Linked DNA regions of Lepisosteus oculatus. The protein of the gene in region 1 interacts with the protein of each later gene in a pairwise test. Links are inferred from orthologs where the notes say so. Each region holds a gene or a part of one and is shown on either strand. Other genes may lie near its edges.

Region 1 (7,197 bases):
AACATCAGCAGTATTTCCCTGCAACAAAAATGCACGTATTCACTTTTTGTTAATAATAACATTATATTCACTCAAATTTAATTAATTCCCAGGCACGTCTGATGAATAACTATTTCACACTAGAAATGCTTAAATAAATCATAGTCACCTAGATCTCCAAACAAGATTTGGGTAGTTCCTTAGCAGTCCATACTACTGCTTCGTTCATTTATTTTCATTGGTCTTTGTATTCTTCTGACTTTCATTGTATAACCACACAAAGTATACCCATGACAAGAGTTTCTTCAACATGAAAAGAGCAATAGAACACACTCCTGCAGAAGATGTGATTAATGTCTTCACAGCATCAGATATCATGGGAATAATGACTGATGCATCGACTGTTCAACCCCAAAAACAAACAGAGAGAATGTATGACAACTGCAAGCTGTAGATCTCCTCTGTGGCTGCATTCTTGAAGGTGATGTCACATTTATTTAAATGCAGACGTGGTTTATTTAAATAATATTGTGATCAACACAGTGATTTAAGGTTTAGAAACCAGCAAGACTTCATATGGGAGCTATAATCCAGTTATAGTTTAGAGACTAGTAAATATCTGCAGTGACAAAATGTTTTGGGAAATTGCCACTAGTCACCACAGAATCCTGAAAACCAAAGAAAACGTTGCTGGTATCCCCCGTCTTAAAAAAAAAACTCCCTCATAGCACAAGCAGATACGTGTTACTACAGTGAAGCGAGGCTGCCTTTTTTTCGTCATAATATTTTTCTGTACGTTAAAGTGTTTTAGCAAGAGCGTTACCAAATAAGCAGAAATAGGTTATAGTAACTGTTTAAGTCAGGTGTTATGAAAGTTTCAATGTTTTATACAACATTTTCTAAGGCTTTCTGTAAAACACCTTAGTACGCCCCTTCCTCCCGAGCAAGTTAAGGCGTCAAATTAAACCCTTGTGGACTGGGCGAGCCCTCTTTTCAGAATTATAAACCTTCTTTTTAACGTGTCTTCCGAACCACTCGTGTGACATTAGCCCAGATGTCCTGGAAGTGAAGTACTGTATGTTCCCAGTTTCATCACAGGCTGAAATTGACAGCTCACGACACGGCAACCCTTCGTCATGTCTAGTAGGCGTGAAGGGGGTGTGACAGGGAACGCGCACCTAATTGGTCAGAGCTCCCTTCGGACAGGTGACCTCTTACAGAGCAGGCTTCGCCACACAGATGACAGGAAATGTCTTTCCATTGTGAGGGACAATCAAGGCTTTTATGCATGTTCTTCAATCCATTTAACAAAGACAAGGAAATGTACAGGTTTTAGGCGTGTCCCTTGTCATTTCAGCAGGTATGTGCGTGGATTTGGGGTATAACCTGAATACTCAAACCGTGCATTGAATGGTGCGACAAATTAGGCAACACTATCACAAGAGATTATGGGGAAAAATCGATTCTGCGGAGATCATTAAGGAAGGGAGAAATTTGAGGAAAACAGGGAATCTTGCAAAACCTCAATTACACTTTGCATTTATTTATTTTTTATTGTTTTTTTTTTTTTTGCACGTTGTGACCAAACTCACCCAGCCTCCGTTCTCCTGGATCCAGTTCTGAAGGGGCCCGTTGAGATACTCCGTCATCCAGTTGGCAATGTTGTCCACCTGGGACGTCATCTCCCGGTTCACGCTCTCCACGCACATCGTCCCGCCGAACTCGAAGAAAGCGACAATCCGCCCCCAGTTGACTCCGTCCCGAAACAGCTCCTCCACCACCGCGGTGAACTTCCTCCGGGCGGTGTTGGGGGTGAAGTGCAACTGATCCGACATCTCCGCGAAGTCCCGGTGGTACATCCTCTCGATCTCGTCCCCAGCCTCCCGCAGCACCTTGTGGAGAGCGGCGTGGGGGTCGGGCGGGGGGGTCCGGCGGGGGACCGGGACAGCTCCGCGCTCGGCCCCGGCAGCCTGGAGCCGCCGCGCCTGCAGCCCCGGACCCGAGGCGGAGGGGCCCACCAATCCGTTATTGGGGGGATCGGTCTCGCCGGACACGCGGGATTCCCACACGTAGCCCTTCTTCAGGAGTTTGTGATGGATGTATTTTGTCACGATATTCCGAGTATCGTACGGGGCTTCGTTATTTGCCATTATTTAGGGACTCAAAATGCCGCGACCAAACCCAGCAAGTCCAAGCAGTCCTATGCCACGTGCATTTTCCAACAGAAACTCGTAAACGGCTTGCTATATATTCTGTAATTCAACAATACAGATGATTATTACTACCAGACTCAATGCATACATTATTTCTGGTGTTCCCACCAGTCTTTAAAAATACCAATATCAAAAAGGCGGCTAGGATCAATAACACGCCATGCTGTAAAAACACCGCGGCTGTTCGAAACCCAGACACATTAGAGACATCTTCCAATGCAAACACCCTAATTAAATAAAAAATATTACCCGAGTTAAACACGCACTTTAATATCGGTGCATTTTAGACGTGTGCATTGTAGAAAGAATGAAGTTTGCCCTTTACCGATCATTTCCACACCGGCTTCAGAAGCCCCAATATAGGCATTATCAAACTTTGAAAAACGTACTTTTAATTAATACGACATTCTATATTTTTCAGAAAGCATGTTTATTGGGTGACCCGCAATGTTCTACTATTTGCAAAAACCTGCGTTTAAGTGCATTGCAACACGTAAACTGCAGCTACAACATATACTTAACACTTCACCTTTTTTTTCCCGCAGACTTGACAGTCTTCATTACAAACCAAAATGTTCTAAAAGAAATGAATGTCAAACATCAAGAAATCGTGCTATGCGGTGAATGCACTACTCTTCGTAACCAGGAGAGCAATTTTCTAATGCCGGAGAAAACAGTCGGAGCTAATATCGTCTATCTGGATTTAAATATGCATTTTCCTACAACCGAATTTTATCATCTATTTTCTACTTTGCCTATACATCCCGCGCTATCGCTTTATAAACTTTGGGTAACTTACTTCATCGGTTACAGGCGTTTAGACAGCTCCAGAGCCGCAAGCAATCCGCCAGGAATGTTTGATCTATTCTAATTATTACGCCCCTTTTCAGCAATGAGAAAGATCCGTGGGAAAAAAAAGTACCAAGTTTTCGCGTATCCTTTAGAATATATTTTCCACAAATCCAGCAATTTGGGAAGTATCCACTTAGATTCCTAATTCGAGATAATCACTTGAACACATCCAAAACTTGGACGAAACCGCACTGCTGTCCTGCGGCGCTGAATTATCCCAGTGACATTTGAACAGCGCCTTTGAAAGACGGAAGAGACAGCAGTAGCTTTCGAAATGCCTTTTATCCCAGATTAAGTAAATCGACTAGGAGAGTCTCCCACACACACACACACAAAAAGACGCCGAGGAATGTATTAAAAAGATCTCAAGTTTAGAAAGAAAATAACACTAAGCCTTGCTCCTTGCACCGTCACGGCAAAAACTACGTTAAAGCTGCAGTTACATAGTATGTGAGCAACAAATCTTTGATACAACTGCACTCGCCGTCACTCCCTCTGCCTCTCATTATATATAACGTTACTCCTTTCGAGTGAGGTATTTCCTCTACGTCACGCCATTCATTTTTTTAGTTACTCTGGCAGCACTTGATGGCGGGGCTACTGTACGACCGGCTGCTTCACCTGTTGTGAGATTTCCGCTCGATTTTTATTATTTAACATCGGTTCCAAGTCCAATATCGTTAATTCCCCGGCGCTGCCATTTGTGTTTCGGAACATATTGTTTGCACCACAATTAGGTTTGTACCACAAAAACGATCATCGATGTCGCCAAAATTATATCAAGCGAGCGAGTTCTTTACCGAAGACGGATTTGAATGATTTTACAGTAAGTGCAAATGAAATACATTTTAAATAGGTAAATGTCATATATAATATAAATCTATGCCAAAGCTTGTGTTTCTCGAGAGTGCACTTTAGCAGTTAGAGAACTCGAATTCGCTACAATATTAATCATCCTACAGTATATTTTTAAGCAATTATTCAGGATCGTAAAGTGGGGGCAATTGTTAACCAACACCATTAAAATACCGAACCGTGCATATACTGTACATATATATACTTTACGTAAAATATTTGAGATAAATGATGCACTGAAGAGTGGAGGCGGGAATTCTACATGACATATGAAATTAATGAGAAAAATAAAGACGTCTGACATCCTATCGAAGCTGAATTCCCGAAATCAGTCTGGAATCGGTCTGCAGTTACAATGCCTTGTAAAAACATTCACCCCTTCCAGTGATGTTCCATGTTGTTGAATTAGAAATTCTCTCTACACCTTTTTTAACGTGTTTATTTTTAATCGAAAGGTAAATGCTCGAAACTTCATTGTGCGTGAAAGAAGTGAAGTGTCTGCAAAGAAAAAATCAAATAAAAAGTTGATTCACACCCTTTATAATGACACATCTTTAATTTGGGCGCACACAATTACAGTGACAAGTCGCACCATTAGTTGTATGGCTTTAGCTGAATGGATTTAAAACTATTCACTTTATAAATCTGTGTACACGATTCATAAATTCACAAAGTGGAAAAGAGTAAATACTTTTGTAATGCATTGCGTTTACATTGTGAGAATCCTTTTCTATTGTGGATTAATGTCTTCAAGGAATTTTAATCTTGTCCTCATTTGAAAATCATTTTCTCGTCCAGATTTTTGAGGCACACATTTGGTAGACGCCAATGCCATCTGGAAAATGGATTTTTAGATTTAATTTTTTAGGAGGCTGTAGTAACAGGCTGTCATCATTCTTCATGCATAAGCAGTTCCAGTTTCCAAGGGTATCAGTCTCATTTACTTTTCTTTGGTAGAAGGCACTGCAAACAAGAAGCTGGATTAACGATTTCAAGATTTACATTTGGATTTAGAAGATTTTTCTCCTTTGCTTTCAATTCTGTTATTTTCAGTGGGGTTTCCTTTCTACGTCATTATGTCCATCTGTCCTGAATTCTATTTGTCTTTTTTTTTAACCATCTGTATCTAAATTCCTTCCATCACCAGGAAGAGCCAGCTGGGAAAAGACCTACTGGATGTTAAAATGTGTTCCCTGCTTTTAGAGGACGCCAGTTTCGGGAAGACTTTTTTTTCCGGACAAAATAAAATACCGTAAATTGTTCTAACTAATTTTATCACAGAATTCCAGAATTTTAAGTTGTTGTATATCCGTTTTATTCAGCAGTGGGCAGTCTTAGACATGTAAGAAATACCTCATAAAAACAGTCTTAACGGCGATGGCAGCTCCGTGTAAAACACAACAACAGAGCCACGACGGTAAAATACAGAATACCTGATCTAATCTTGACACGAGTCGTCAAGTCTCTGAGCAGGCTTTAGGAGCGGGATCTATGGGAACTGGGCCCCTGCTTTTCTCACACAATGAACAGAGCAGAGCAATTCTAATAGGTCACCAACAGTCACGTTTCTCCTTGAACTGAAACAGAAGTGCCGGGCTGGGAACAATGACGTTCTTGTTAACTGAAATCGCACGCCTGGTGTGAGAAGTCTCCAAGCACATGTCCAACCAGGAACCAGATGAAATCTGCATGTGCTTTTTTTTTTCAGAACTTGAATCCATGATGAGGTTCAGTTGTGTGACTTGTCAAAGTAGCTTTGTAGCGTCCTGTTCGTGATCTAATATGTTTCCCATAGCAAAGGGGGCAGGCACTGACAAGTGACAGGTTTCTGTTTTTTAAATGGTTCTCTGCAGTTTTTGCTGACATAATGACGTAATTGTTTTCATCCATCAAAGTGTTCCGTTTGAGCATTCAAGCTTGAACTTAAACGTTTGTTAAAAATGTGAATGCATCATTTGTTATTCAGCATAATGGGGTATCCATGGGAGGGGGATGAATATTTTTGTAAGGCACTCCATAAACAGCAAAACTATTAAACATATCCAACTAAAACCAACAGAGACCTTTTTGGAAGGAATGGCTGCTGATTTTCTTTCTCTTATCTCAGCACAGGCACACGTTAAGGACAACAACCCATCCTGCAAAGACTCTGACTTAACATGGACTCAGAAGGTTTGTTTTCCACAATATACTGTACAATTTTATCATTAAATAACAAAAACCAGTCTCAATGGCCAGCAGCAGGCATTAGATGTGGTGGCTGACCAAAACAAAAAGCACTTTGCAGACACTGTGACTTGTTCCCTGTTATTCTCATAAGAATTGCTTGCATTTATATAGGACTTTTCATCATGAAAGATTCAAACGTCCTTCACATCCAGGAGGGGACCCACTTCATCCATGATAAAATCAATCCCCTGTCAAGGGGATGTACAACAGCCCCAATCCCACTCCCAGAGAAGTGAGAATTTACTCAAATATCTATTGAATTAAGAGGGGAATTGAGGGAAGTCACTCCAGGCTTTACACACCCAGAGTGGGGATCTTTAATGACCAAGTAGTCACCCCACACCAGTTGAAGTGTTAACTACGGATCCACCGAGATCTCTCCCAATTTTTTGCCTACCTTCTGAGACCTGACAAAATCAGACTACAGAATGAGTCACTTTCCACTGGCTGGAAGAGAGAAGCTGAGGAGGTTATTCCAGACGGCGGCTGTCAATCAGTGGTATCACAGACCTTGGGGATCCTCTTATTTTAAACACTGCTGTAAGGATCTGTACACATTCAAAACACTGATTAGGGACCTTAATCTGGGAAGGATTGTAAGACTAATAACACAAGGTGCTTTTACTAGATTAACGGCGTCTGCATTTAATTAATTATGCCAGAGCAGACAATGAACTTGTCTAGTCAGCACTTTCTCTCTATCGTTTTCAAAATGACACGTGTCAATTGATCTGTGAAAACAGTATACACTGCCTTTCACAATCCGTGAGAAGCCACATTATTTTGTTTTTAATTTAAAGCACATTAGAATTGTTCAAACGAATTGTTCAAGGTACGACACAACAGACACCCCTTTAAATGATTTTTATATTTTTCTAAAAACTGGAAAACTTGAATATTGTAGTTTTTAGTATTAAAAATCAAGTTAGGAGAATAGACTCAAGTGATTTCAGCAATTTAAGCAAGGATGTGGGAATTATGTTGTAATAGAAACACAGATAACAGAAGCACATTTGTGTTCATCATGTCCACTTTGGAACTCAATGGAGTATAAATCATTTTTTGTTGT
Region 2 (7,968 bases), on another chromosome or scaffold:
CAAGGGAAAGAAGCTACATTTTTTTCTACTTCAGCCCACAGAACTAACTAATGAGCTCCATAGCTCAAGCAATTATTCCAGAATAACATCTACAAATGAAGGTTATGCTGTTCAGTAGAGGGGGATGTAATGGAAATGTAAAACCACAAATGCTGATAACTATCTGTGATGTCAAACACTGCGGTGCTGCACTGTACATAAACTCTATTCACCAGTTCATCCGTGTTTGTAGATCTCTGAAGCAATTCAGTTGGACACAGTAATTAAATAAAGGAAGCAGCTCCCATTTCCTGTGCATTTTCACCATTAATCATCATCTACATCTCCATATCCCTTCATAATAATAAATAAAATTGTAAAGAGGGATAAGTTAAATGAACGCAATTACTTTTTACAGGGGGAAACTGAATTCATAGATCAATTTTTAATAGTTTGGTTTGTGTTCAGCTCATAGTCCTTCAGAGTGTCCAAATAATTGCATTCTGTGGAGTTTTTTTTATATTTACAGTGCCACTTCTTCTGTTTGCACTCGTCTCTATAAAATGAAAAAGATAGTAAACCTTGTCACTTTAAATCTAGTTCCTAACAGTTCCATTCATTATCAAACAACAATTTATTATATTGAAGCATATGTAAGTAGTTTACAAAAGTCTTGTTAAACAATGATTTATCAACATTTTTACACATGTAAATGCTTATTGCAGCATCTATAGGCATAGACATTTTTCAGAATAAAGGAGAACTAATGAATAACTCTGTACTTTCATCCTTAGCCTTGACACTGTATTCTAGCATACTAAAAGAGACTATTTTTCATATTCACATATATACAGTTAGTACTATTGTCCCAGATGTCCATTAATACTGGACTCTACCAAAGAGTGATGAATTACATAACTAAACGTTCTATCTCTTAAGGCATCATATCAAGTAAAAATTAAATATTTAGGAAAACGTAAATGTTTTGTGTTTTAGACAGTTTAGTAACTATTGAAAATCTATCAAGGTATTTAACTTTGCTCTGAATGCTTTCTGATATACATTTATATTTATATTTATATCTATAGTTACATCTATATTTATATTCATATGTGTGATACGATTGTCTGTGTAATGTTCTGTTCTAGTTTGTTCTTGTGTGTCCAGACTGTGAGTAACTCTTGTATTGTATTGTATGTATTGTACTATTAGTATATAATTCGTTACACTGTGGCTGTGTTGTCTGTGTTAAGCTGCTGTTGCACTGCAATTTCCCTCACGGGATCAATAAAGTATCAATCTATATGATATGACCTTGTATGTTCAGGCAGTATAGAAGAAAGGGAGGAATACAGGTTACCAGTCAAAACAAAATAAAAACCAAGACAATACTGAGTAATAATCTAATCGTAATAATACATAAATAGTTTAGGTAGATTAAATCATGTTTGCTTCAGATACATTTGGTCTTTTGGACTCTCAGGTTAATCTTGTTAATGATATAATCAAGATTTTTTGGGAGATACATTTTCCAAAGACAATGAAAGTAAAAAAAACGTAGGTTTTAAAAATGATCAATAAAGATGAGTACATTTAATTGGTTTAAATTAACAAGAATTTCCGTTTTCTTTCTTGAGTGAATTATTTTCTGTGACTGTATAGATATACATTCAAACTTTAATGTCTTATCTGAAAAGATTTGATAAACTAATATCTACTCAAATCTATTTTGTCTCAATATATAACTAGCCACAGGACAAGTCTGAATATGAATACTTTTATAGACGTACATTTTTGAAGTAGTAAATATTTAGAATCAAGAACATAATTCAGCTTGTCCCTTGGCGGATAGCAGAAGACAAATGATTTTAACCTGGTTGTCTCCTACCACCTAGTGGGCATTTCAAGAAGACTGCTTCAACAGTTGAATTTGCATTTTTGTGGAAAAATCAGTTAATTATGGCGAGACTTTCTAAACCATAAATATCACGTCAACATTGAAAAATATGTAGTAATTTATTTTCATTAATCTATCTACTAGTTTATAACTGCCACAGACGAATCATTTTTCAACTATTAATTTCTGGAAGCTCTCAAAAATACCAACCGCCGTATTTTCATCTAAATAACAGTAACAAAATGGCCAATTTCATATTTCATTTAATTGGCTTTCCTCGTGGCAATGCAAAAGAAGGTGTAATATTTTCCAAAATAAAAACAAGCAAATACAGTCCAGGAACGTTTTTACGTTGCGTTTAAGTTAAAACTAGAACACCCACATAAAATGTTAAAGGCTCATATGTTTAGACGTCACCTTTGGCCTCTCACCTTTCGGGGGGTGCATTCTTGAGACATGTGTACAGTCACCATGTTTCTGTACACCGCAACGAAAGTACACGTGTGAGGGCCACCTTGAAGATTAAGTGAATTAGGTACAGCTAGGAAGTCCCCGAACATCTGGCAGTGCAGTTAGTGTACAATATATCTATCAATGAATTGGTAGGAGGAATGAAGTGTGGTGCACTCACAGAAATACACCAGGAGGTGGAGTCTCACTCACACGAGCAGGGTGAAACGCGGGCTCCCTCTGTGCTTGGCCTGAGCCGTGCGCCCTGTCCAGGTCGTCAAAGCAAAGCTACTGTTGTGATGTTACGAAGGCTAAGGAAGGAACGTGGCAGACGAAATTCAGATCAGAAAAGAAAACATATAACTGTCCCACTATTCAGTCAGGAACACGCTGCGTGGAACTGGGCTGCTTGCGTTATCCGTATCAAAATCAGTTTTGCTAAATTAATTTGGCTACTTTATGACACATTTTGAGGGCGTAACTGCCAAATATGACCGATTTCAACTAATAATTGAAACTATAAAGTGCCTCAACGACAGAAATTAAAGATTAGCATACTATGAATACTATGTCTAATTGTAAAGCACATACTCCTATATACGAGGAAATTCATAATTTGTGAGGTGTATCAATTATTACAGTATTATTACACAAACTTAAAGCTTTATGGACTGTGCCAGTAGAGGGAAATTCAATGTCGTAATGATTTCGGATACAGTGCCAGAGGCGTTAAATAAAGTCTGCAATATATTGTTAAATATCGAATTACAACAATATTCTTTGTTAAATGCCCAACTGGTTACAATTCTGATAACAATTATGGGCAAAATGCTCACCATTTCTGTAAAACATGTTTACGATGAAGCATTGTACACTTACCTGTAGCATGTTTCATTGGAGCTCGTTTGTCACCTATTTTTCAGAATACCGTTTTGTCTGTAATACTGCATATCTGATGAAGTTTTGAAAGAAATGTTCATTCAGGAAATATAGCAAAGGAGAGAGACGATTCGTGACGCGACTATGGTTAAGGGTGAGCAGACGTCCTCTTAATCCCGGACATACGATTTTCATTTTTCTTGATGCCAAATTTCTGGAAACTTTCCTATTCATAACTTTTACAGACGCTTTTACATTCAGACACTGCCTAAACCTACAGTTCCAGTTATACATTTAGTAGTAATAGATTCACACAGTTCAGCAGGTTATTTAATCAGTTTTGCACCTGTTCATCTGTATAATAAACTTGGACCCATAGTCATTGATATGCGAGTCCAAAGCTCTAACAGAAAGGGAACATTCATGACTGTAAAGACATTTCAAATACAATTCAACTGAAAGAAAACTAAACAGCAAATTGGTAGCTGATCTGCTAGTACTATTGGAACTGGTTATAGACTTGTGTGTTCTGTATATAGTAAGTGCACCTGTATAACAAAACTGTTCTTTATGTACTGTATATGGAAGGACTCTGCAACATCCTATAGAAAACATCTCGGTACAATTGTAAATTAGAGTACAGATTGGCGGAGAAGAATTTCTGATATGTTTACATGCAATCTAAGACATTAGTCCTCTTTTTGAGATCTAAATATCGGTCAGACAGGGATTGATAAAGTTCCAAAAATTATCCGTGATTTTGTTTTGCTCGGTACTCAGACGGTGTGAACAAACATAGGCCTACATATTTTCGCACGGTCCCGGCATTACTGGTAGATGTTTTGAATTTACACGCAGCATAGCTTGAAAAGGGTTTGAGTGCGTATGTGGCTGTTTTTATGGCCATTAGAAATAACAATGTTTTAACTTGTTTCATCATTTTTCAAAATTAAATCATCGTTAAAATTGATCATTTTTGCAACCAATGAGGACTTCTCCTAAATTATGATGTCTTCATTTTTTCCTCAGATGTTAAGACTTTTGATGTGTTAAAATGGGAAAAAAACTAAGTTTAAAATATTTTTTTTCCTTGTTTGCTATTATGGAAGAGAATTAGTAACCCTGCAACTGTTTAAAAGTTTACTAAGAAGTTGAATAAAAACTAGAGAGTTTAAATTGATTTACTCATGTGGATTTACTGTCTGAAAAAAATGTTCTTCAAGATATTCTCTCACCTTGTTTGTCTAGGATACAACTTCCTAATGCCTCTGGTGACTTGTGTTTGCGGGGGATTTGCCACGACGCATACTGCAGGCCAAGGTGAAGACAACAGATACTCACAGGTATTTCAAGAATCATTTCCGTTATCCAGGTGCGTGGTTTCTGTGTCAAGCTTACAAGCCGGAGATTAGGCGACATGTGAAGATGGAAAATTCAAAGGACGAAATAGTGAAATAGTTGTGCGTTCTGAGTAACCACATCAGAGGCGGATGATACAGCTTCCCTTGGGCTTTTTTAAAAAAAAAACCAACACCTTCATCATTATTTTATGTTTATTTTACTTTATTCACATAAAAGAAATACTATCCTATTACAGGGCGTTCTATAAAAGCCCCATCCTGCAAACACATTTAATACTGGTTGCTGAAGGGAATCAGAATAGGCAAGTTTTTGGCCGTTTTCGCAGCTTTCATTTTTTTTTTGGTGAACTTTTAGGTGTTCCTTCCTTGCACCATAGAGGGCAGTACCGCAGAAATGTGGCCGTCAAGGGGAGGAGAGAAGCGCAGGGCTTCCCGAGTAACGGGGTAGGCAGCGAGCAGGCTGACGGACTTGACCAGCAGCCGGTCAGATCCACTGGATGGGGAAGCGAGGTGCAAAAATGAACGGTCGGTTTTTCGCTTCCTTAAATGCGGCTGCAGGACCTAGGCGGTGTTAAAAAAAAAAAAGATCGCTTTCCGGCGTCCGCGATTCACCATGGGGAGGACTTAGCGAGAAGTCGGCTTGGTGCTGGTAGTTTCGCCCTGTTGCAGACTTTTCCAGGACAGGAAGGAAGGAAGAGGGGAGGGGAAGCGGACTTGAGCACAGGAGCTGCTGGGCCATACAACAGGCTCGCAAGTCAACCAAAACAGAAAGGTCCTCTCTTTTCCCGCACGTCAGCCCGCCGGAGCCACCAGAACCGTGGCGTAGGGAAATCGGGAGTACACTTTCATAACGGTTTCAGGTTTAGCATTAATTAACTATCGGGTTTTTTTTTTGCTGTTGTGAAAGAAACGGGGAGGGGGTGGGGGTGGAGGAGAACTTGACACGCGTTGCGCTGCGCGGCGTCGGCGACAGTTTTTCGGCTCTTGAAGTTTCGGGGCTTTCAGCTGAAGGGAGACTTGAAAAGACGGTGCCGCCCTCATGGCAGCAGAAGTTACTGAGACTGAAGCAGGGGCAACCGGCGATACGGGCTTCAACGCAAGCAGCTCAGGCGCAGACACACCCAGGTTAGTGGAGAAGGTGGAGAACAGGCCGGCGGCTCCGGCTCCGGCTCCGGGGGAAGACGCGCCGCAGAGCGGGTCGGCACCTCCATCGGAGACTGCCGAGGGCGCAGCTCCGCGGACTCCAACCAAAACAGGAGGTCCGACACAGGAAGCCGGGACTCCAGACAATGGACGAAAACAAGAGCCGGCGGGGGTGCGAACTTCGACTCCAGTTAGTCACAGCCTGCCATCTCCAACAGCACACAATGGAAGGTGAGGGTGAGGGGAACAGCTTAGTTGTTTTTTTTTTTTTTGGGTGCGCCAGGTTTTACAATTTAAAAGGGGGGAGAGGGGAGTTGATTTTCAGTGTCTAGTCGGATTATTCACATTGACGTTAGTTTTAACGAAAGCTTAACGTGTTTCAGTTGGGTCTTATAACAGTGGGTTTAAATGCATAAAATTCTCTAATGCAAAACGTGTCGTGTACAGTTATACAAACGATGCAAAAAATGCAAGCCATGTACATTATAGGGTTTCACCTGTGTTTGTTGCAGGACGTGTCACTTGATGCCTACAGGCGCTAGGCTCTTTATCTCTGCTTTACCATGATATTTCGTATCAGCAAATACACTTAAAGATGCACCATGCTGGTAAGGTTGGTTGCATTGAAACATCCAAGTTTTACTGGATTCATTGCTGTTGAATCCGTATCAAAGTTAACTAAAAGTTTTTTTTTCCTGTGACGTTTGCGCGATAAAGTCCACACGATCAAGAGAAAAGAACGATGAAAACACCTGAGAAGAACCTGAAATACCGCAGAGCAATAACACTGATTTTTAGCACTAGGCTATATATATATTTTCTGCAGCATTTTACCACTGTTACGACTTTGGACATACCAATCAGTAAGAGAGGATTTCTAATAAAGTGGCAGTGTTAAAGCAGTTCGTTCACACACCTGCTGTTCTGTTCTTTCAGAATTCCTTTCAAAGACTCCTTTTTCTTCACAGATGAGCCTATGCAAGACTTGGCTAAGACAGTAAAAGAAATGGGTTTTTACTTCCTGCAGCTGTACATCAGAAATATGTGGAGGCCTGTGTTCTATAGGACAGCTGAAAGTGGCCTGTGATGATAAAGAGACCTTTTATTGCATCCAACAGAGTGCTGTTTTCCTGGTCAAGTTTTTCATTGTTCTTTGCTACAGCTGAAAATGGTTCCAAAAGTTCTTAAATTTGGAGATGCACATAAATAAGTTTTAAAAAGTTTGTTCCGAAAGCTTCAGTCTTTTAACATGGATTAATCTTCCTAATTTGTGAAGCCTGTAGGCTGCCAGGTCCGTGTGTCTTTGGGAGAGGACAGATTTGCTGAGGATAAACATTTCACATGAGTCCATTTGGTAAAAATAACCTGAAGGACCATTTCAAGTGCTTGAATGGTCCCCCACAGTTAAAACCTTATCAGCAGCTACATTTAAACTCTTGAAAATAGCCTTAGATAGTATCAGTTACGAATATTATTATTGTGGCATGTTGCCCCCAAAGCATGACAGTCCGCCCTTTAGAGTTGCCTTAAAAATAAAACCAATCAGGTTACTAGAAGAACAGCAATGGTTGGGTGAAGAGCAGACAATTTTGTGAATGCTATTTTGCAATATCTACAAGAACATATCCCGTTTTGCAGTTTACTGGTTTAATGGAGTAATTGTGGTTGACTTATACTGCAGTTATCAAATAATGGCACTTGTTACATTTGTAGCATTTAATTATTTTATAGGATGCTTATTCAGTGCAGAGTGCCAAACGGGCAGCTATCTTCAGACGACCAGCTGAATGCTGACAATAGGGTGAGACATCCCTCCCTCCTCTTTAGGAAAGAATGCGCAATCACCATATGGTTAGTGATGAGCTGCTTTATATCGGAGAGCATGTTCCTCCTCTCCAGTCCAGGAGCTGAGCATACGATCACTGCTTATGACCAGGGCCCAGTATAAAGCAAGCTTTGACCCATTCACCAATCACAAATGAGAGGCAGAGTAATTGATGCCAGGCTGCGTGATGTAAAAAGGCAAACTCTCTGGCAAACAAAGCCTGTCATGTACTTACTGCTGGCTATGACATTTGTGTTTGGTGTGGTATGTGGGGCAAAGTTTCATTTAATCCTTAACCCGTAAAATTTGTCATGTTCAATTCTTCTGTTTTCTGCAGTAGTGAAATATATAAATACCTAAAACGTGTAACCTTATTTATTTACTTTCCCCCAATATTCAGCAGGCTTTACTCTTAAATACATGTAGTTGACACA
Region 3 (7,117 bases), on another chromosome or scaffold:
ATGAAGCCAATTCATAGAGGGGGATTATTAGGAGGCCATGATTGGTAAAGGCCAATGGGAAATTTAGCCAAGATGCCGGGGTATTTCTATTCAAATCAATCAATAATGAAATATAAAAAATATATTGCCTGAGAGCTGTTTTTCTCTCCACTGCTGTGCACCTCAGATCCTCTCCGGAGATGAAGGGGAGTCTGAGACCGTGGAGGACTAAATTAAAGAAAAGCACTGGTAAGTGACTGTAATTGAAACATTACACAAAATGTCTTACACATTGCTTTAAAACAATGTTTTAATGAAAGCAGAGACAGTCTCCATCACATGTATAAAAGCTTATGACTGTAAGCTAAATAGCTATCTAGTATCTTAAATTAAAGATATGTGTGAAGTCTTTTTATCAACTCACCCTTGTTCACTATTACTATTTTCCTGTTATGTATAGGCTGCATTTTTTAATGCATGCCTGTAATCGGAAAGTATCATGAACCCCGTGAAATCAGTCCTGCAAAAATCAATTTGGCTGTCCATTCAATATTAACTTAACTGGACAGCATCAAACAAGGTCTACTGCAAAACAAGATGTATGATAATGCATTCCCAGCTTCATAACAATTAAGTACTCCTAGCAGAATGCATAAACATCTATATTTGGTACAATAAATGTATAATCCTTTAAGTGTACTTCTTCATGTATTACATAAAATCTGAAAGATTTCTAAATTTAATAGACCACCTATTAGTGTAATCTACTTTTATACCTGTCACAATGAGAGCTTCCTCTGGAGCTACTTCTGCCAGATTCATGCTGTGCATCTAGAAGCATGTTTTCGATGTCTCCATTGTGAATCGAAGCTGGCACCTGGTCCTGCCCTCCATTTTGTGTAACACTCCCATTTCCATTATTATTAAAGTGCAGCTCCACCCAAGAACCTATAGGAACATGTAAAACAACACAACAAATCACACCCAGTAAGTATAAATATATAAGCTCTATAATTTTAAACTTTAAAATGAGCACACATACAGTACCACTAGCATGCCTAATTTAAAAAGGACAGCTTTAAAAGATCATCAGCCCTTTATACTGCACTTACTTTAATGCAAATAAACAGTGTTCTTTTTGAACCAGCTGACTGTCACATGCTTGTGCCCTCTCTTTACATCACTGTATTTTTTTTACAATCTACTATCCAATAAGGAAAGGAGCATCAGAACCACTCCTGTCTATTGCATCACTTGAAAGAAAAAACATGTCTGTGGTTATTTTTGTTCCTTATCATAGCTGCATTAGGTAGGACCATAAATAGAATGCTACAATTGACAATAAAGAACTCATAGGACAAAAAGACTTTGCAAGGTCATCTGATCAGTCAGTTTCAAAGCTGATACTGTTTTACATTAAGGAACTGAAAGCAGAAAGGGTATGAAAACAGGATAAAATCAATACTTTGAGTGCAACTGATCCCACCAACATTAACTGCTAATTGTGAATGTTCAATATTCAATACATGACCTCTCAATACTTTTTTTTTAAAAATGCATAAATTGTGTCTAATGTTGTACACAAAAGCTACTTAAGTTTGCAAACGCACACTCTTCAGTCATTTGTAATTATTAACTTTTTGTTCCATTTCTTAAGCATAATGGACTGGCAAGATTATAATTAAAATACGTTTGGCTTGTGGTAAAAAACTGACATGAAATGAGCTCCTATTTTCTTTTAGTCCCCTACTTCAGTGAAAAAGGAAAAATAAACAAAATGCGGTTTTCCTGAAATTATATCTTCTTATCAACAGTATTAAGATTAATTTAATTAATTGGCTGATACAATCCATTTATCTACTGCAAAGGGATAAAACAGTACATACTGTACGTTCTGAAAGTATAGATTTAATGATTATGGAAGTTTGATATAACAATACACGATAACATCAAGGGTGAAAACTGGTGACTGGTGAATCTACATTAGCCAAGTCTGTGTTAAACCTTAAATTATCACTTATTCTTAGATTATGGTTAGGGTGAGAGTGTGTGGACACAGGTGAGGTCAGGAAAAAAAAGTATTCGGGTTTCACCAAGAAGCCTTTGACGAACCTACATTTACTGGATCACCAGCTTCTTAAATATAAGTTTAGTTTCATGATTTTAAATGTATACATCTGATTGTTTTCCTGGTGATTCTTAATAATTTAATTGGGATTGTTTGCTTGTCACTTATATTATTATTTCAACATCATCCGAGATTTTACAAAAAATGTAACAGTATTTTTGTATTTTTTCATAACAATGGTACAAATAGCTTAAATTCCAACCCTAAACAGGGGAACAAATACCAGTCTTACGCCATTCTAGTTTTGTAAATCTCATACTAGCACATTTGGCACCAAACAAGAGTTTTAACTCTGCTTAGACCGACCTTGTAAATGAAACCAATTGATTAAATCACAAATCTTAACTAGGGATGAAATATTCAATCTGCTTGGAATTTGATTTCCACTTTAACTAGCTATATACAGTGTTACAATTTTTTAGAAAAAAAATCTGAAAATCTGTCATTTTAGAATAGTTGATTTTCAAATACGACAAAACGATAGATCGAAATTAAGTAAAGTCAACAGAAATCGCCTCCAAACCTTGTGCGCTCTGCTGTTGTTTACATTCCACTCTGAAACGTCACTTTAGCAGCATTTGAGCAACGTGCATAATTATCATTAATTTATAATCCAAGGAAATTATGAATAGCAACCCTTAAGGCTTGCATAATTTCGCTAACATTGCAAAACAAATCGCTGTCACTCAAGGCCTCTACACTGAACACCGCGGACAGAAACCAGCAACCTACCCTGCAAATTTTCGTCCTGGTTACTTTGCTTCTCTGTCGACATGTTTCTTGTCACCTCTATCAACAAAGGTGGTGCACAAGCTGTACTGCTAAATTAACGCTACACCTGCGCTACTTTCATACAAATTGGCGTCTGTTTGGTCTGGGTAACAAGCATATATCAAGAACCAGACCCCCACAAAAACACAGTGACGCAATGTATTGTTGATTTACTGGAGTCCGTGTCGCGATTGGTCAGAAAAGGACCACGTCATGCCGGGGCTGGATTGGGAAAAAAAAGAACGTGCAGTTCAGCTGCAGATTTGTACTGTGTGCTTGCGCCTTTTCCCAGTCCTGCAAAGATTTATACACAGGGCGAGCCTTGTGGTCATTTGAGTTATGTTACTATTATCGTGCTTTAAAAGCGAAAGAATGCTAACAACGAAAGGCAACTTCCTTGTATCCTTGATTGGCAGTGTAAGAAGATGAAGAAACGTTCCTGAGCCGAGACACAACTGTTGTGAAGAGTTTAACTGTAAGCGACGTAAAGCAATCATAACACTGAAAAGCTTTGTAATTGTATTTTCAGTTGCTTGTGGATTACAAAACATATGTATATATACTACCACTATAAAGAAGGCTTTAGCCCGGCCAGATTCATACAGCGTACTTGTCAGGCATAACATAGGAAATACTGTATATTCGATAGTGCGCCCTCAGGTGGTGAAATCTAGGAATGCCGCGATTGCTCTACAGTATATGAGAAGAGGCCATTAATATTTTGGATACAGTTCCTGTTCATTTAAGGAACGTGCAAACGCCTCTCGTTCCAGGATTAAAGATATATACCCTTCTCTTCTCTTTTAAAACAACATGCAATTTCATTATTAAAATCGAGTTATTCTAATCAGTTTTATTACACTGTATAAAGATCTCAGTCACAATAGCTGTAGAAATTCTTCTGTTTCAATAAATTTAAACCCCCTAGCAAAACTACCACCACTAATATGATAATGTATTAGGTGGTTCCCAATAATTTTAACTGTAACGTGTTGCCTCGCCTGTTATATTGCAGTTGAGTCTGATGGGTCTATCTTGAACAGAGCCTGATTTTAGGTTTCTCTGTTGTTTGCTGAAGCAATGTCTCATTCTATCAGCAACTTCTCTTGGTGATGGGCCCCCTTCAATGATGCTATCATCAGTCAGTTTTCATTATTCAAGAAAGCCATTACTGTATGTTGTCCTTCTTTCTCCTCTTTTTCAGGGGTTATATCTACATTACACAATAACTTCATTGGTAATTTGTATGCAGCTACACAGTGTATACACGTCTATTCTGAGAATCACATTACTGAACTAAAGTTTGTGCTCTCATAGGCCTTTTGATATTAAATGTGAATTGTTGTGTGTTTTCATTATGAATTAGTTATGTTTATGTGCTCATAATTGAATTAGTTACATATAATATTAAGATAACATATTTAATCAATTAGAAAACAAGACATTTTCCCAAATGTTCTATCAACTGTAATTGAATGCATAAGAATATTATAAGAGGGCTATAGAAAATCTGATTTTGCATATATCTAACAATGTCAGATTACTCAAGTCTTATGTTTTCTAAACATTTGAACTGTGAGTTTAATATAGTCATAATGTATGTCTGCAAAGGAACAAGTAATAGGTTTATTCCATGCTGAAAAGAGAAGAAAGGAATCACAACATTTCGGCCGTGGAGCCTTCTTCAGGTGTGAAGTTGAAGAGTTAAAGAACACACAACTGAAGAAGGCTCCACAGCTGAAATGTTGTGTTTTCTTTCTTCTCTTTTCAGTATGGAATAAACCTATTACTTCTTCCTTTGCAGCCTGCGCATTCTGACGCAGCTCCCCACCTGAGCTACATAATGTGTCTGTCTGCAAACATTTTCTAATACCATCTTATTTATGAAGCAGCCTTCTGTGGTGCTTGTAAACTCTTCAACTATCTCAGCAATAATATTAAGCAGAACTAGGAGTGGAAGTTCTCCCTGTGTTCACTAGGGTTTCCTCCCACAATCCATAGACATACAGTACTAGTAGGTTAATTGGCTTCTGGCAAAAGGCCCTGGTGTGTGTGTGTGTCCGCGTGTGCCCTGCTTTGGACTGGCATCCAGTCTAGGGTGTATCCTGCCTTGCACTTGTTGATTGCTGGGATAGGCTCCAGCTCCTCCATTACCCTGTACTGAATAAAGCAGTTAGAAAATGGATGGATAGACAGTCTTCCCTCTTCATGTACAGTACCTCAGTTTGAGTTGATGCAAAGAGTAAAAAAAATCAAAATCCACAGAGTAACTAATTTAGTATGTCAGAAAAGTTGAGAAAATGATGAATGGGTATTTACAGGAAATTAAAGACTGGGCAGAAACCTGGCAGATGAGATTTACACATAGTATTTACACATGTAAAAAGTATTCTTACACGTAGTATTACATGCAGGAAGCAAAATCATAAACTTTAAAAACAAAATGAGAAATGATAAGCTTGAAGAGTCTACTTATGATAGACTTAGGTGCTTATGCTGACACACTATTTACATTTTCTAGACAATGTGGGAAACAATAAGAAAGGCAAATAAAATGTTGGGATATATACTGTACCTGAAAGCCCCAGATTTGAAATAAGTGATTTTACATTGGAAATTGTGCAAAGCTCTAGTTAGACATTATTTACAATATTGTTTATCATTTTCATGACCACATTATAAAAAAGATGTTGCTTGTATGGAATCTGCTCAGAGAACAGCAACTATATACTGTACATTCTGGAGCTTCAGAGAACATCCTGCACTGATAGCTTTAAAAAACTGAGTATTTTAGTCTTCAACATAGAAAACTATAAAGGAACATAATCCAAGTATTTAACATCCTTTAAGGCACTGACAAATTCAATTGAGTGAACGTCTTCAGAATCAACAGTCAAACATGACTCAGAGGACACTATGTGGAAATACCTTTAAAACCAAGAATAGGAGGTACATCTTCACACCAAGAGTTGTGAGAGTATGGAACAAGAGCTACCCAGCAATAGAGAAGCCAAAAGCCTAACTACTATCTCACTCTCAAAAGCATCACTTTTCAAACACAAGTTTAAATATGAAGGGGGTAATAAGTATTTTATTGTTCCTTTGAGTGCCATGAGTGTTAAATGTTATACTGTATGTGAATACTTGAGAAAATGTATATATTTTAACCAATAATTATTAAATTCTGCAGCAGAAAGCGGTAATTTAATTCTTATCAGAAAAAAACCCACGACAAAATGCCCACAAAAAAGTGTGAACCTTTTTTGCAAGTTAAAAAAAGAAAAAGGAATTGCAAAGGTTCAGTTTTTGTAAAATACTGTAAATAATCACCCATATACTATAGATGGTCAATGTGATGTGCTTTTAAGTTTTACATTTATTTTGGCAAATGATTATAGCTGAACACTCAGCAGTCACAGAGGTTTTTTTGACAGCCTCTAATACCGCCACAGAGCAAGAACTGCAAGCAAGGCCTCTTCATGCGTGGTAAAACATTCTGCAAATCCACTTGAATGCAGACGATAAGCCTCACTTTCCTTGTGCATTACATCCACTGTATTTCCCTAATCACGGTTATCTGTGCTAAGAGAATTTTTTCTTGTGCAGGGTGGATCGCCGGCTTGCCGAATGTGCTCCTTGATGACGTGTCTGCACTCGGCAGCTACTGTAGCTGCAGTGACACTGCAATGGCTGAGGGGCGGCTGGTGGAAGCTAGCAATGAGCTCATTCTCCCAGGAGGGAGCCAAGCTCACAGCGCATCACTGGGAAACTGCAGCTTCTGCGTGAAATACGTCCTTAGTCTGCCTCTGCTCCTGTCGGCCTGATTCTTTACTTTTGGGGGTGTGTACATGGTAAGAAGATAATCCTGTCTGGTTGATTTTAAATGCTTCCCAGGGCTTTTTTTTTTTCATTTTTTGATGCATCATTATCCACTGCTTCCATTATTCAAGGAATTTGGATGCAGCATTAGATTTCATGCTGCAGTGATGATTTTTTATATTTGCCATATGATGAATGTTGTTAATGTATGTGGAAGGTACTGCCTGCAGTTTTATTTTAGTATGTCCATCACTGCACACAGCAAATGGCACTTCCTCAAATACTAGAACAGCTCCCCAGGTAAACCAGCCAGAGAGCGTACAACATAACGGGATCATGGCTTTAAGGTTGGTCTCAGTATTTGTATTTGTATTTTTAATGCTTCTGTCTTAAATTTACAAAGGTTATTATTTCTGCATG

The links.
Region 2: the proteins of apoptosis regulator Bcl-2 (region 1) and bnip2 interact in a two-hybrid assay, tested with the Homo sapiens proteins (3 studies listed by BioGRID and IntAct). The link is inferred for Lepisosteus oculatus from reciprocal best matches to the Homo sapiens genes BCL2 and BNIP2.
Region 3: the proteins of apoptosis regulator Bcl-2 (region 1) and bnip3 interact in a two-hybrid assay, tested with the Homo sapiens proteins (2 studies listed by BioGRID and IntAct). The link is inferred for Lepisosteus oculatus from reciprocal best matches to the Homo sapiens genes BCL2 and BNIP3.

Annotation. Positions count from the first base shown.
Region 1 is NC_090701.1:10,513,518-10,520,714, reverse strand, and holds the start of apoptosis regulator Bcl-2, read right to left. Parts: upstream 3,082-7,197; 5' UTR 2,992-3,081; intron 2,232-2,991; 5' UTR 2,130-2,231; coding exon 1,572-2,129; intron 1-1,571. UniProt on the Homo sapiens protein: Suppresses apoptosis in a variety of cell systems including factor-dependent lymphohematopoietic and neural cells. Regulates cell death by controlling the mitochondrial membrane permeability. Appears to function in a feedback loop system with caspases.
Region 2 is NC_090700.1:58,384,125-58,392,092, forward strand, and holds the start of bnip2 (BCL2/adenovirus E1B 19 kDa protein-interacting protein 2), read left to right. Parts: upstream 1-4,944; 5' UTR 4,945-5,605; coding exon 5,606-5,940; intron 5,941-7,968.
Region 3 is NC_090699.1:25,044,340-25,051,456, reverse strand, and holds the start of bnip3 (BCL2/adenovirus E1B 19 kDa protein-interacting protein 3), read right to left. Parts: upstream 3,047-7,117; 5' UTR 2,883-3,046; coding exon 2,840-2,882; intron 928-2,839; coding exon 756-927; intron 208-755; coding exon 129-207; intron 1-128. UniProt on the Homo sapiens protein: Apoptosis-inducing protein that can overcome BCL2 suppression. May play a role in repartitioning calcium between the two major intracellular calcium stores in association with BCL2.